3 linked regions of the Notamacropus eugenii genome follow. The protein of the gene in region 1 purifies or fractionates together with the protein of each later gene. This does not show direct contact. Links are inferred from orthologs where the notes say so. Each region holds a gene or a part of one and is shown in the gene's direction. Other genes may lie near its edges.

Evidence for each region.
Region 2: the proteins of PML (region 1) and ZFYVE9 purify together in Homo sapiens (affinity purification with western blotting; 3 studies listed by BioGRID and IntAct, with this or other methods). This does not show direct contact. The link is inferred for Notamacropus eugenii from reciprocal best matches to the Homo sapiens genes PML and ZFYVE9.
Region 3: the proteins of PML (region 1) and ZMYM2 purify together in Homo sapiens (affinity purification with western blotting; 3 studies listed by BioGRID, with this or other methods). This does not show direct contact. The link is inferred for Notamacropus eugenii from reciprocal best matches to the Homo sapiens genes PML and ZMYM2.

What each region holds. Positions count from the first base shown.
Region 1 is NC_092872.1:242,512,053-242,515,797, reverse strand, and holds the start of PML (protein PML), read left to right. Parts: upstream 1-804; 5' UTR 805-880; coding exon 881-898; exon of another isoform or gene 899-911; intron 912-1,141; coding exon 1,142-1,266; intron 1,267-2,144; coding exon 2,145-2,376; intron 2,377-3,745.
Region 2 is NC_092873.1:512,294,940-512,298,684, forward strand, and holds the start of ZFYVE9 (zinc finger FYVE domain-containing protein 9), read left to right. Parts: upstream 1-1,029; 5' UTR 1,030-1,117; intron 1,118-1,285; exon of another isoform or gene 1,286-1,440; intron 1,441-3,745. UniProt on the Homo sapiens protein: Early endosomal protein that functions to recruit SMAD2/SMAD3 to intracellular membranes and to the TGF-beta receptor.
Region 3 is NC_092876.1:186,829,406-186,833,150, forward strand, and holds the start of ZMYM2 (zinc finger MYM-type protein 2), read left to right. Parts: upstream 1-1,155; 5' UTR 1,156-1,263; intron 1,264-2,295; 5' UTR 2,296-2,363; intron 2,364-3,745. UniProt on the Homo sapiens protein: Involved in the negative regulation of transcription.

The sequences.
Region 1 (3,745 bases):
GAAAAAAAAAAAAAAAGAAATGTGAAGCCTTTTGTAAGTGATTAAGAACTTACTCTTACTCTTACAAACTCCTTAAAGGCTGAGATTATGTTATATTTATTTTTAGATCTCCCATAAATTCCCTAACATAGCATCTAGCACATAGTTGGAGTTCAGTAAACGCTTTCATTAGACCAGTCTGGGGGTGGGGAACTTGTGGAATCCATGGGATTCAGTCAAAGGGTCACACTTGGGGACTTGTGGGGCCACATGGAGGCCCTCAGCTTCGAAGGTTCTCCACCCCTGGACCAGTCCTTGGGGACTCACACTTTGGTTGAGGAGTCAAGAAATAACAGGATTAGAAAGCTACAGCTGAACTACGGTGTAGAATCCATCCATGTGCAACAGGAGGTAGCAAATCAGACATTCTAAGGGACCACCTAGTCCAATCTCCCCTTCAGGGAACTGGGGAAACTGAGGCATCTCAGAGAAATCAAAGGACTTGTCCAAAGTCACACGGATAATAAGCAGCAGAGAAGGGAATGTGAAGCCCCCCGCTTCCAAATTCAGCGATCTTTGGCTTGTACCGCCACGTTGCTTGGGATTTGGATACTGGAATTGGCAGACCAATGGTGGAGTCCAAGGTCTATCATTAACCTGCTGGGTGACCCTCCTGAAGTCGCTGAACCTTTCTTAAACATCCAGTTTCTCATCTGTAAATCGAGGGGGCTGGACTATCCTTCCGGCTCTTGAGATTGTGTGAAAGGGGTGGGGGTGAAGTGGGGGCGGGGCGGGAGTCCCTTCCGTCTCCTACATACTATGATTCAGAGATCAGCGTTGGCAGTGGTGGTCAGAGAAGGCTCCATCTTGAAGGTTGAGGAGGGGGAGCAGGCCTCGTTCAATGAGCACAAGTACAGAGGTGGTACAATTGAGTATGTGCAGAAGGAGAGGGGGGAAGAAGGAAAGGGGGGAAGAAGAAAAGGGAGGAAGGGAGAAGGGAGAGAAGAGGGAGGTGGATAGATGAAAAGACTGCAATTTAAGCAGGACCGTAATCCTTCTCTCTAGCCCCTCTCCCTTGTCTGTCTCAGCTCCCCAGCTTGACTGGGAGCTCCCGGCGGGCAGGGATCTGTCACCTCCTGAAGCTTTTTTCTTCTCTCCCCAGAACAGCACTCAGGGTGCGAAAGAGGGGGTCGGAGATCATTGTCATCCGGAACTGCATCCTGCACTGCCATCCTCCCAGGTCGGTCCAGTCCAAGGAGGCCAGATGTCCCAGAACGAGGAGTCAGGGTGAGGCTGCCCTTTGCTTCCCATCCCTCATCCCATCCCCTGCCTCCCCCAATTGTCAAGCCCCCCTCACCCCGCCCCCTGGCTTAGCCTCTCGGCTCAGACAGAGAAGGCAGGAGCATCTTGCAGGAACCCTGGGGGTCTCTGTTGCTTGACAACAGCTTCTGTTGCCGGCTCTCGGTACCCAGCTTGACCACGTAACCCTGCACCTTCCTCCCCTGTCCCCTTCGGGCAGCCCCGACTCCCGGGGCTCCTCCCTCAGCATCAGCATCAGCACCTGTCTCTGCCCTTGATCATTGTGAGCTGGAGGGACTGTGGGCTGCCTCCATCCCTAGGACTCAAGAAGGGTCAGGGACCTCCCTGGAGCCCACCCAGTGCAGGTGCCCCTGCAGTACCCACTGGACCAGACCCATCCCTCTCCGTTTCTTCTCCTTTTCGTCTTCCTTCTCATCTTCCTCCCCATCTTCCTCCCCACATTCCTCCTGTTTCCCCTTCTCTTCCTCCTCATCTTTTTTATTCCCATCCTCCTCTTCTTCCTTCCCTCCCCTCCTTTTTTCCTTCCTCCTCCCCTTCTCCTCTTATCTCTCTCTTCCTCTTTTATCTTCCCTTTCTCCTTTTTCTTTCCTTTCCCTGCCCTTTCCTCCTCTTTTTATCTTCCTCTCCTCCTCCCTTCTCCCTTTCCTCTTTTTCACTCCCTCTCCCTCCCGTCTCTCTTTCCTCCTCTTTTCTCCCTCCCTCACCCCCCCTTCTTCCCCTCGGTGTTCTAAAACGTCAGCCTCCAAGGTAGGCGGGCTCGCGGGGTGCTCCTCCCAGATGCCGGGCTCCCCCAATGCGCATCCCTCGCTGCCTCCCTCTGACCCTCTCCGCCCCGCTCCTTCCAGGTCACCTGCTGAGAATCGAAACTGTGAGGAGCTTTCCATGACTTCGGAGCGGGCCACCTCCACCAAGCCCGACCAGATGGCAGACCCTCCACCACCTTCGTCCCCTCCTCCTCCCATCCTGGTGTCGGTGGCCACGGCTTCCACCTGGACCTTCCCCAACGAGCCGGTGAGTCCTAGCCAGCCCGAAGCCAGCACCAGCGGCGGCACCAAAGCCCGCGCCAGCACCGAGGAGGTGAGGGCGGGGGCAGGTACCTGGGGCCAGGTAACTCACCTGAAGGGTGGGAACCTGGGAGACAAGAAGGAAGGGGTTCGCATTCATGAAGCACCTACTGTGTGCCGGGCGCTTTACAGAGAGCATTGCATTCTATAACAATAGTGACGATTGCTAGTGTACCTTCTATAGCCAGGCCTGTACTAAGGACTTTACAAATATTATCTCATTTAATAAGAATAAAAATAACCAGCTTGGGTATAGCTGTGTGCTACTGTGTGCCAGGCCCTGTGCTAAGAGCTTCACAAATATTTCAGTCGAGCCTCACAACCACCTAGGAGGCAGAAGCTATTATCAGCACCCCCATTTTACTGAGGCAGACCAAATGAAGTGACTTGCCCTAGGTCACTCAGCTAGTGATTATCTGAAGATCTGAACTGACAACAACAATTTGTACATAGAGCTTACTGTGTGCCAGGTACTGTGCTAAGTGCTTTACCGTTATAATTTCATGTAATTAAGAGTAATTGTCATCGCTAGCGTTTACATAGTGTCTATTATGTGCCAGGAGTCATACTTAGCCCTTGACAATTGTTATCTCATTTGTTCCACTCTGGTAGGTGCTGTTATCATCCCCACTTTACAGATGAAAAAACTGAGGCAAATAGGTGAAGTGACTTGCCCAGGATCCTGGTAGATATCCAAGGTAGAATTTTAACTCAGGTCTTCCTGACTCCATGGACTACTAGGTGATGCAGTGGATAGAGTGCTGGGATGGTATCCGGAAAACTCATCTTCCTGAGTTCAAATCTGACCTCAGACACTTACTAGCTGTGTGACCCTGGGCAAGTCACTTTACCCAGTTTGCCTCAGTTTCCTCATACGTCAAATGAACTGGAAGAGGAAATGGCCAACCACTCCAGTAACTTTGCCAAGAAAACCCCAAATGGGGTCATTTGGACACCACTGAAAAACAACTGAACAGCAGCTTCCTAACTCCAAGTCCTGGGCTTTATCTGTACCTCTGTGCCTTTAGGCAGCTTTTCTAGGGAATCAACTGGATCTAGGAAGGAAAGAGCCCTGGTCTAAGGCTTAGGAAATCATAAGTTCATAGATGCAGGATTGGAAGGACCTTCTGAGACAGTCAGTTAAAACCACTTTATTTTACACTTGAAGAAAGCGAGTCCTGAGGAGGGTAAGGGATTTGCCCAATTGAACTCACAGAGGAGGTGAGATTTGAACCCACGACCCTCTGACTCTGGAGTCAGTTCTCCTTCAACTGAACCAGGAGATCAAAGTTTTCATCTTGAATCTCTTCTGTCCTAACTTTATGACCTTGGGATTCAGTTTCCCCCTGTGTCAAATGAGGGGGCTAGGTTTGGACTAGATC
Region 2 (3,745 bases), on another chromosome or scaffold:
ATCAGCCTTGGTGCTGGGCTAGGAGCCCCCTTCTCCCTGGGGGCGGAGCTAGGGGCCAGGCTGGGACCCTTCTGCTCCTTTGGGGGCGGAGCTGGGGGGGGGGCCTCTGCTCCTTTGGGGGCGGAGCTAGGGGCCAGGCTCGGACCCTTCTGCTCCTTTGAGGGCGGAGCTGGGGGGGGGCCTCTGCTCCTTTGGGGGCGGAGCTGGGGGGGGGCCTCTGCTCCTTTGGGGGCGGAGCTGGGGGGGGGGCGCCTCTGCTCCGTTGGGGGCGGAGCTGGGGGGGGGGGCCTCTGCTCCTTTGGGGGCGGAGCTAGGGGGCCATGCTCGGACCCTTCTGCTCCTTTGAGGGCGGAGCTGGGGGGGGGGGGTCTCTGCTCCGTTGGGGGCGGAGCCTCTGCTCCTTTGGGGGCGGAGCTGGGGGCCAGGCTCGGACCCCTCTCCTCGCTCCTGGCCCTGGGTCTCCGATTGCCTCTTTTGGGACTGGCAGGGATAGTAGCCCGTCTCCAGCCCCATCCCCTCAAGGGGTCGGAGCTGGGCCTCGGGCCCGCCCTCTAAGCCATGCCCGTGCAGGCTGGCCAAGTTGGCAGCGGCAGCTGCTAAGGCGGCGGCCGTGCTAAGCCTAGGTGGAGTGCGGCGGCAGGCGGCGCGGCCCGGCCCGGCCCGGCCCGGCCCCGCCCGCCTCGCCTCGGGCTCCCTCCGCCTCCCTCCTCCCCCCTCCCCCCTCCCTCCTCCCCCGCGGCCGCCCCGCCCCCGTCGGCGGCCGCCGCAGTCAGTCCGGGCGCCGTAGCCCGAGCCCCGGCCAGGGGGCGCTGCGGGGCGGGGCGGCCGCGGCGGCCGGAGGACCAGGACCAGGACCGGCACCGGAGCGGAGAGGGAGGACGGCCGGGCGGCAGGGGCGGCGGCCGGAGTTGCGCTCCCTCCTCGGTGCGGGAGTCCCTCGCTCGGGGCCCGGCCCCGGAGCCGGAGCCAGGGCCGGTCGGGCGGGGCCGGAGCCCAATGCGGAGCGGGCGGCGCGGGGCGGCAGCGGCGGCGGGCGCGGGGGCTGCGCCCTCCCCAGGCGGCCCCGGCGCGGGGGCCCCGGCCATGCGGACCCGGGCGGCGGGAGCGGCGGCCCGCGGTAAGTGCGCGCGCGGCGCGAGCCGGGGGGAGGGGGGCGCGGGAACGCGCGGCCCGCTCACGCACCCCGCCCGCGCCCGCGGGGGTCTCCGTGGGGGGCGGAGGGGCAGCCGCATCGGGGCCGGGGCGCGGGGGGAGGTGGCAGTGCCCGGGAGCCCGCTGCCCCCTCCCCCGCCGTCCCCTCGCCCACGGGCACACAATGCCCGGCACACGCAGGGATCCCGGCACCCAGGTCCACCCAGCGCGGGCCCAACCTACGCATATGTGAGCGGCCCCCCACCCCCACACATGTACGCGGCATATGCGGGCACGCAGCACTCACACGTACGTACGCATGTACGCCTTCCCGGACCCGCAGCCCCCCGCTGCCGGGGAGGGGGGGAGGGCTCCCCTGGGCCCCGGGTCCCCCTGTTGGGCCTCCCAGAGAGACCCCAGCCCTGCGGGCGGAGGGACTGTGTGTATGTTTGCGTGGGCTGCGCGTGGGCGCATGTGATGCCTCTGTGGGGAAATCCCCGGGCATCCTCGGGCGCGCCGGGGCTGGCACCTCGCCGGCATCCAGTTCGAGGCCCTGCCCGCGACCTCCTGGCCCTGCGGCTCGGGCTGCCCCGGCACCCCAGAGCCCCTTCGTGGGCAGGAGAACCTCCGGGAGCAACTGGTGCTTCGCCACCCCGCATTGCCCGGGGGCACCTGGCCTCCCCGCAGCCCCGAAGGCTGGCACCCCCCTAAGCCCTGCTTGGCGGCCCGGGGGCAGCCTCCAGTTGTGATAAAGAGGTGGGCTGGGCAGTGGGGGCTGTTCCGGAGCAGGGCAGGACCTCCCTGAGGAGTCCTCCAGGTTACTGCTAAGTAGGTCCAGATGATGAGTGGCGGAGGAGGGGTGGTTTTTTATCGCTCTAACTAGCCACTGAACAGGTACCAGATGGCAACGGAATAGATCTTAATTTTTAGAAATGAATTATCTTCTTTGCATATTAGTGGAAAAAGAACGTTACTGATTACAATGTGATACCATAAATAAGGTGTTCATGGAAAATGTGAATATAGCATTTTCTTGTCTTCACCTTGACCTACTGTGAATAGGTAAACGTCTTTTACAAAGAGTGACTTTGGAGAGAGGACATTTTCTACTTTTTGGATTGAAGCTTCAACGCTAGTTTGTCATTATTTGTGGTTTAATAGAGTACATAAGGTGTATCAACTTTATGACTTGGGAGACTTTATGATTCTATTATTTAATTGACTCAACCTTATATCCCCACTAAATTATTGGTATTAAAGAGATGTGCATTTGTTTCTGGGAGAACTTAGGTCATTAAAGGAGCTTTGTGATTTCCTGAAGGCAACCCAATTTGTTTTACTTTTGCTGTTTTATTTAAGTATATATATATATATATATATATATATATATATATATATATATATATATATATGTATGTGTGTTATTGATCAGTTGAGTTTGACTCTTGGTGACCCCATTTGGGATTTTCTTGGCAAAGATCCTGGAATGGTTTGCCATTTCCTTCTCCTGCTCCTTTACTGATTTGGAAACCTAGGCAAACAGGGTGAAGAGACTTGCCCAGGGTCATGCAGCTAGTAAGTGTCTGAGGCCGGATTTGAACTCAGATTTTCCTTCCTCCAGGCCAGGTGCTCTTTGTATTTAGACACCTAGCTGCTTAGTCTCATAGACAAACTCTCTAGGTTAGGTGAGACTCTGTGGTAAATTGAGGGAAACACCTGGACAAGAGGCACATGGGATTGAACGGCGTGGTGGGCTGAGATTCTGCAGTTGAAGCTCCTATCTAAAAGATTCCACATCCATTTGGGTGTTATTTCATTATCATTGTTCTAAACTAGAGAGCAATGGAACATGAAGATGAGATTTTATTGATCACACTATTGTAGTTGCAGCACCAGAAGGAACCTTCTGTGCTCTATTACATTATCTTTCCTCCAGACCATCCTGGTAAATTGGCCTTTCTTCGTTTCTTAAATATCTCCATGAGAGAATATTAGGCATCTTCCTTTGATAACCCACTGAAGTACTCAACAGATAGATTTTTGGTAAAAAATGAAAGTATTTCTATGTTTTCCCCACTCCTTCAACATTATTAAAATACGCTGGCACTTTATCAACTTACCTAGCTCAACCAGCTGTAGTATAATGTCCTTGTTCTTCAGGTGGGTTTCAGGATGGAAGTATGGCAGAACATCTCTGCAAATTCCACAAGGACTTGAGGTAGCACTAGGTTCAAATTTTACTTCTTGCTCTCTGTATGACCTTTGGGAAGTCTCTTGACTTGTACTGGGGAAATAAAGGGTTTGAATCAAATATTACCTCCAAAGGCTTCTATAGTCCTGCATTCTATCATTCAATCAATAGGCATTTATTAAGCCCCAGTTCCAAGTGCCAGGCACTGTGCTAGGGGATAGGGATATAGATCCAACAAATGACAGTCTATCCAAAGGAGGTGACAGTCCTGGGACCTTAGAAGAGGTGAGTGCCAGGAAGATTCTAGCAGAACTCTGCTATCGATATTGTGTTTTTGCCAGACTTTGTTTCAGTATTGCCAAGTGTAAATCAAAACACAAAAAAGATGGCATGATTTTTTTCATTTGATCTGACAACTCTAAG
Region 3 (3,745 bases), on another chromosome or scaffold:
GGAGCTCCAGCCAACCTTGGACGACCAGAGGTGGTGGAAGGCTGTTGAGACGGCCGCCTGAGAACGGGGGAGCAGGAGGAGGCGAGGAGGCTGCCGGGGCGGAGGGAGCTGCACCGTCTTGTGACAGACCAAGGGGAAAGCTCCAGCCCCTCCAACAAGCGGGAGTCCAGGCTTCAGGGGAGTCCGCAGCTTCCTCCATTTTGGTTGATGGAGGCGGGGAGGAGCGCCTTGATCTCTCACCTCCCTCTCCAAGCCCTCTGGCTTCCTCTAGCCCCTCACCTCCACATGCTCGAGGCAGGGAATGCCCCCACGGTCAAACGACCGCTCCAGGCTGGGGCTTAGAGGGGGAAGTGGCTTTAGCCCCACTGGGTTTGGTTTTGAATTGGTCCCAAGTTCCCACAGCAGCTTCCGACAAAATGGAGGACGCCGTCTCCTCCTCCTGCAGCCATGACAAGGAGGGGAGGGAAAGGGGGGTATTCCCCATGGGGGGGGAGAGGGTTAGAAAGAGTGAAGCTCCCCTTCCCTCAAGAGGCTTGAAGAGTTTTACCCCATCCCTTCCCTTTAGCCTGGCATTCCAATGGCAGCTCCTGTCCACTTCTTGCCCCATCTCCGGGGGCGTAAGGGAGATTGGAGTCGGGGTGGGGAAAAGGATTTGGGGGCATCTGGGCTGTTGGTGTCTTTCCCCACTTATTCCTGTAGGGAGAGTTCTTTAGCTGCTGCAGTTGCTGCACAAGATTGAGTGCCCAGGCCTGGGTGAAGACAGAAGGGCCCCTTAGTCCCATTCCCATTTGCCACAGCTTCTGTTTTCACCCGCCTGTGCCCCTAAGTAGCAACCCTGGGCTGGTGGTAGTGGGCAACCAAATTCACATTTGCCATAACCAGAAAGATCCAGCGGGGGGTTGGGGTGGGGAGGGAATGAGGATGGGGGAGGGGGTTTGGGGGAGAGGGGGAGGAGTGGAAGGGGGGACTCTGGGCGTGGCCAAAGTTTGACGGACGACCTTTTAGACCACCCTGCGAAGGCGGGACGGTGAAAGATTATCCTGCTGGCCAATTGACGCGTTCTAAACACCCCCGCCCGTGCCTCCCGGCAGCCAGTCCTCGTCCGGGTAGGCGGAGCCTCGTGGGGCTCGGTTGTGCCGCCTCCTCCTCCTCCTCGCCAGCGCTTAGCCCGGGACTGGACCGAGTGGAGTTGTGCGTGTTACCGAAGGGGGGGGTGGGGCGGGGGAGGGGAGGTTCGTTCCGTGGAGCCGCAGCCAGAACCGGGTGAGGATTATCCCCCACTCTTTCCCCAGCTCGGTCCGCTGATGGTGGGGGTGGCTGGGGGCAGCACTGCCTCCGGAGGAGGCGACTGGAGAGGCGGAGACGGGTGAGCCACCGAAGGAGCCTCCCACCTCCTCCGGCTTGTTACCCCGTAGTGCGGCGCTGCGGCCGTGCAGGGCCTCGGGGGCTGCCCCGGGGTCTCTCCCTCCTCTCGGGTCCGAGGCCCATTGCGGCGCAGCACGGCCCGGTCCGCCGGGCCCCGGGGCTGAGCGAGGGGCAGGGCCGGGCGCCGGCGGGGAGACGAGGCCGCGGAGGGGGCAGCCCCGCGGGTTTGGCAGTCGGGGCGTTCGGAGGCCGGGGTATTTTTCCTTTCCGTCTCGGTTTCTGAGGGGGGAGGTGACGCTGAGGGAGCTGGAGGGGGGCGGCGGCGGTGGGGACCCGGGTTCCCCCCGCCTCGGGCGGGCTATTGCCGCCGCTATTTCTCCGGAGTTGTTGGGGGGCTGCCCCCTTTCCCCACGGAGAACCCGGTCGTCGGCCCCCCGCCGTCCCAGGCGCTGCCCTGCGACGCTCCTGCGTCTCCCGTATTGTTTGCCTGGGTCTCTAATGGCGGACGGGGAGGCAGCGCTGCCGGCCGCCGACTGCAGGGGGGGCCAACCCCGGGCCCGGGGCAACTGCTGGGGGCAGATGGGGAGATCGCGGGCCGGCGGTGACGTGAGTGTCCGGGAGTGCGGTGCGGACGTCTGGATTCGTGGAAGAGGAGGCCGGCAGGGCCCCCTTCGGAAGGAACGTCCTCTCCCTCCTGGCGTCGAGGCTCTGGCTTCCCCCTCCCAGAGCAGAGGGCGCGGATGCGTGCTGGCCCATGTCGCCTCTCTAGACCTGGCCCGGGCGCCGGGGCGGGGGGGTGGGGGGTGGCCCTCGGGGCTCGGAGGGGAGGAAATGAGGCCCGACCTCCACCACCCCCACCCCCAGGGCGGGGGGACGCGGCCTTATTGGGGCCACTTGATTCTCGTTCAAATCTCTTCTCTGTTTTCGTAGGACCAGAAATCCTTTCCAGCCCCATCTGGCCCAGCTTTGGCCGAAACTACGGAGGAGAGTCCCCCATTGTGAGTCCTTTTCTCGTTATTTGTCTCCTTTTGCGGGCCTAGCCCCGGGGTGAGGGGGGGGTGTTAAACCTCCGGGATTCGCCGCCGGCCTCTGTTGTCTTGAGAAGGAGGAGCCATTGCTCGGGTGGTAGCTGCCCCTGGGGCGAAGACCCGGGACTGGCTGGGAAGGCGGCGGGGGTGGGCTCTGTGGCCCGGCCGCCACCGACGCGGCTCCTGCGGCTGCGAGAGCGGCCCGAGCCCCCCGACGACGGGCTGCAGCTGCTCACGTTACCGGGGGGAGGGCACTTGGCTGGTGCCCCCTAGAGTCTGCGGGTGGGAACCGGAGCCGACTCAAGATGAGCTGGGGAGATGCCCTAGGCATCTCTGCCACCCGCTTCTGGCCGAGAAGGCACAGGAGACGCTGGACGAAGGAAAACGAATCTGTTATTTGGTGTTCTGTTTGTTTAAAAACGGAGGTCCCGTCGTCGCGTGGGTGATGAGACGCTTCCTAAAGCTTTGAGTTCGGGTGCCGAGAGCTGCCGTGGTTTCATCCTAGTGTGTGGCAATGCTGAACAGACTTAAGATCCTTATTTGCCTTGATTTCCAAAGTCTCTGGATTTGATGTTAGATATATTTTTCTGTATTGATTATTAAATGAGAATTAGACTTTAATGGTTGTAATTTGTCGTTGTGTTTGAAACTTTCTTTTCCTTAAAGCTAAGATTTCCAGAGTATAAAGTAATAAAGTGACAAAAGTGAACGCCATACCTCTCAACAATGTATTTTGGGAAACCATGGAATTTTGTTTAATCGGGATTTATAGGACTCTCGCTAGGGGCGCTGCTTCAGTTTTGCAGGTTATTGCATAAATATGCAGTAAACACCAAATACTCAAGAAAAGTTAATCACATCCAATCCAAAGCCACTGAATTTCGTATGTTAAAGTGTAGTATTTCTGAGAATGGAAGGATGTATAAATGCATTTAAAATGGAATAAAATTACACGTGTGAAATAAAGCTTCCAAACTCATCTAGCAATTTCTAAAGAAGGTAAGGCTAATGATTAATTTGATTTTCTTGCCCTTTCTTTTAAAAGGAATATAAATATCTTTAAAAATATTAGATTTAATAATAAACAACTCTTTTCAATAGATGGACCTGTTAATGTAAAAAATAAAGATCCTGAATTATGCTGGATACCTTGTTCTTTTTCAGCACCTTTTTTTGATGTAACATTGAATCATAACTACTTCAAGCTGGTTAGTGTTCGGTAACATTGAATCATAAATACTTCAAGGTGGTTAGTGTTCAGATATTTTCCCCATGTGTTTTTAATCTTATAGTTGTTTAAAAACCGGAAGGACAGATGGATATTAACTGTGATACTGAACACAAATGAAGAG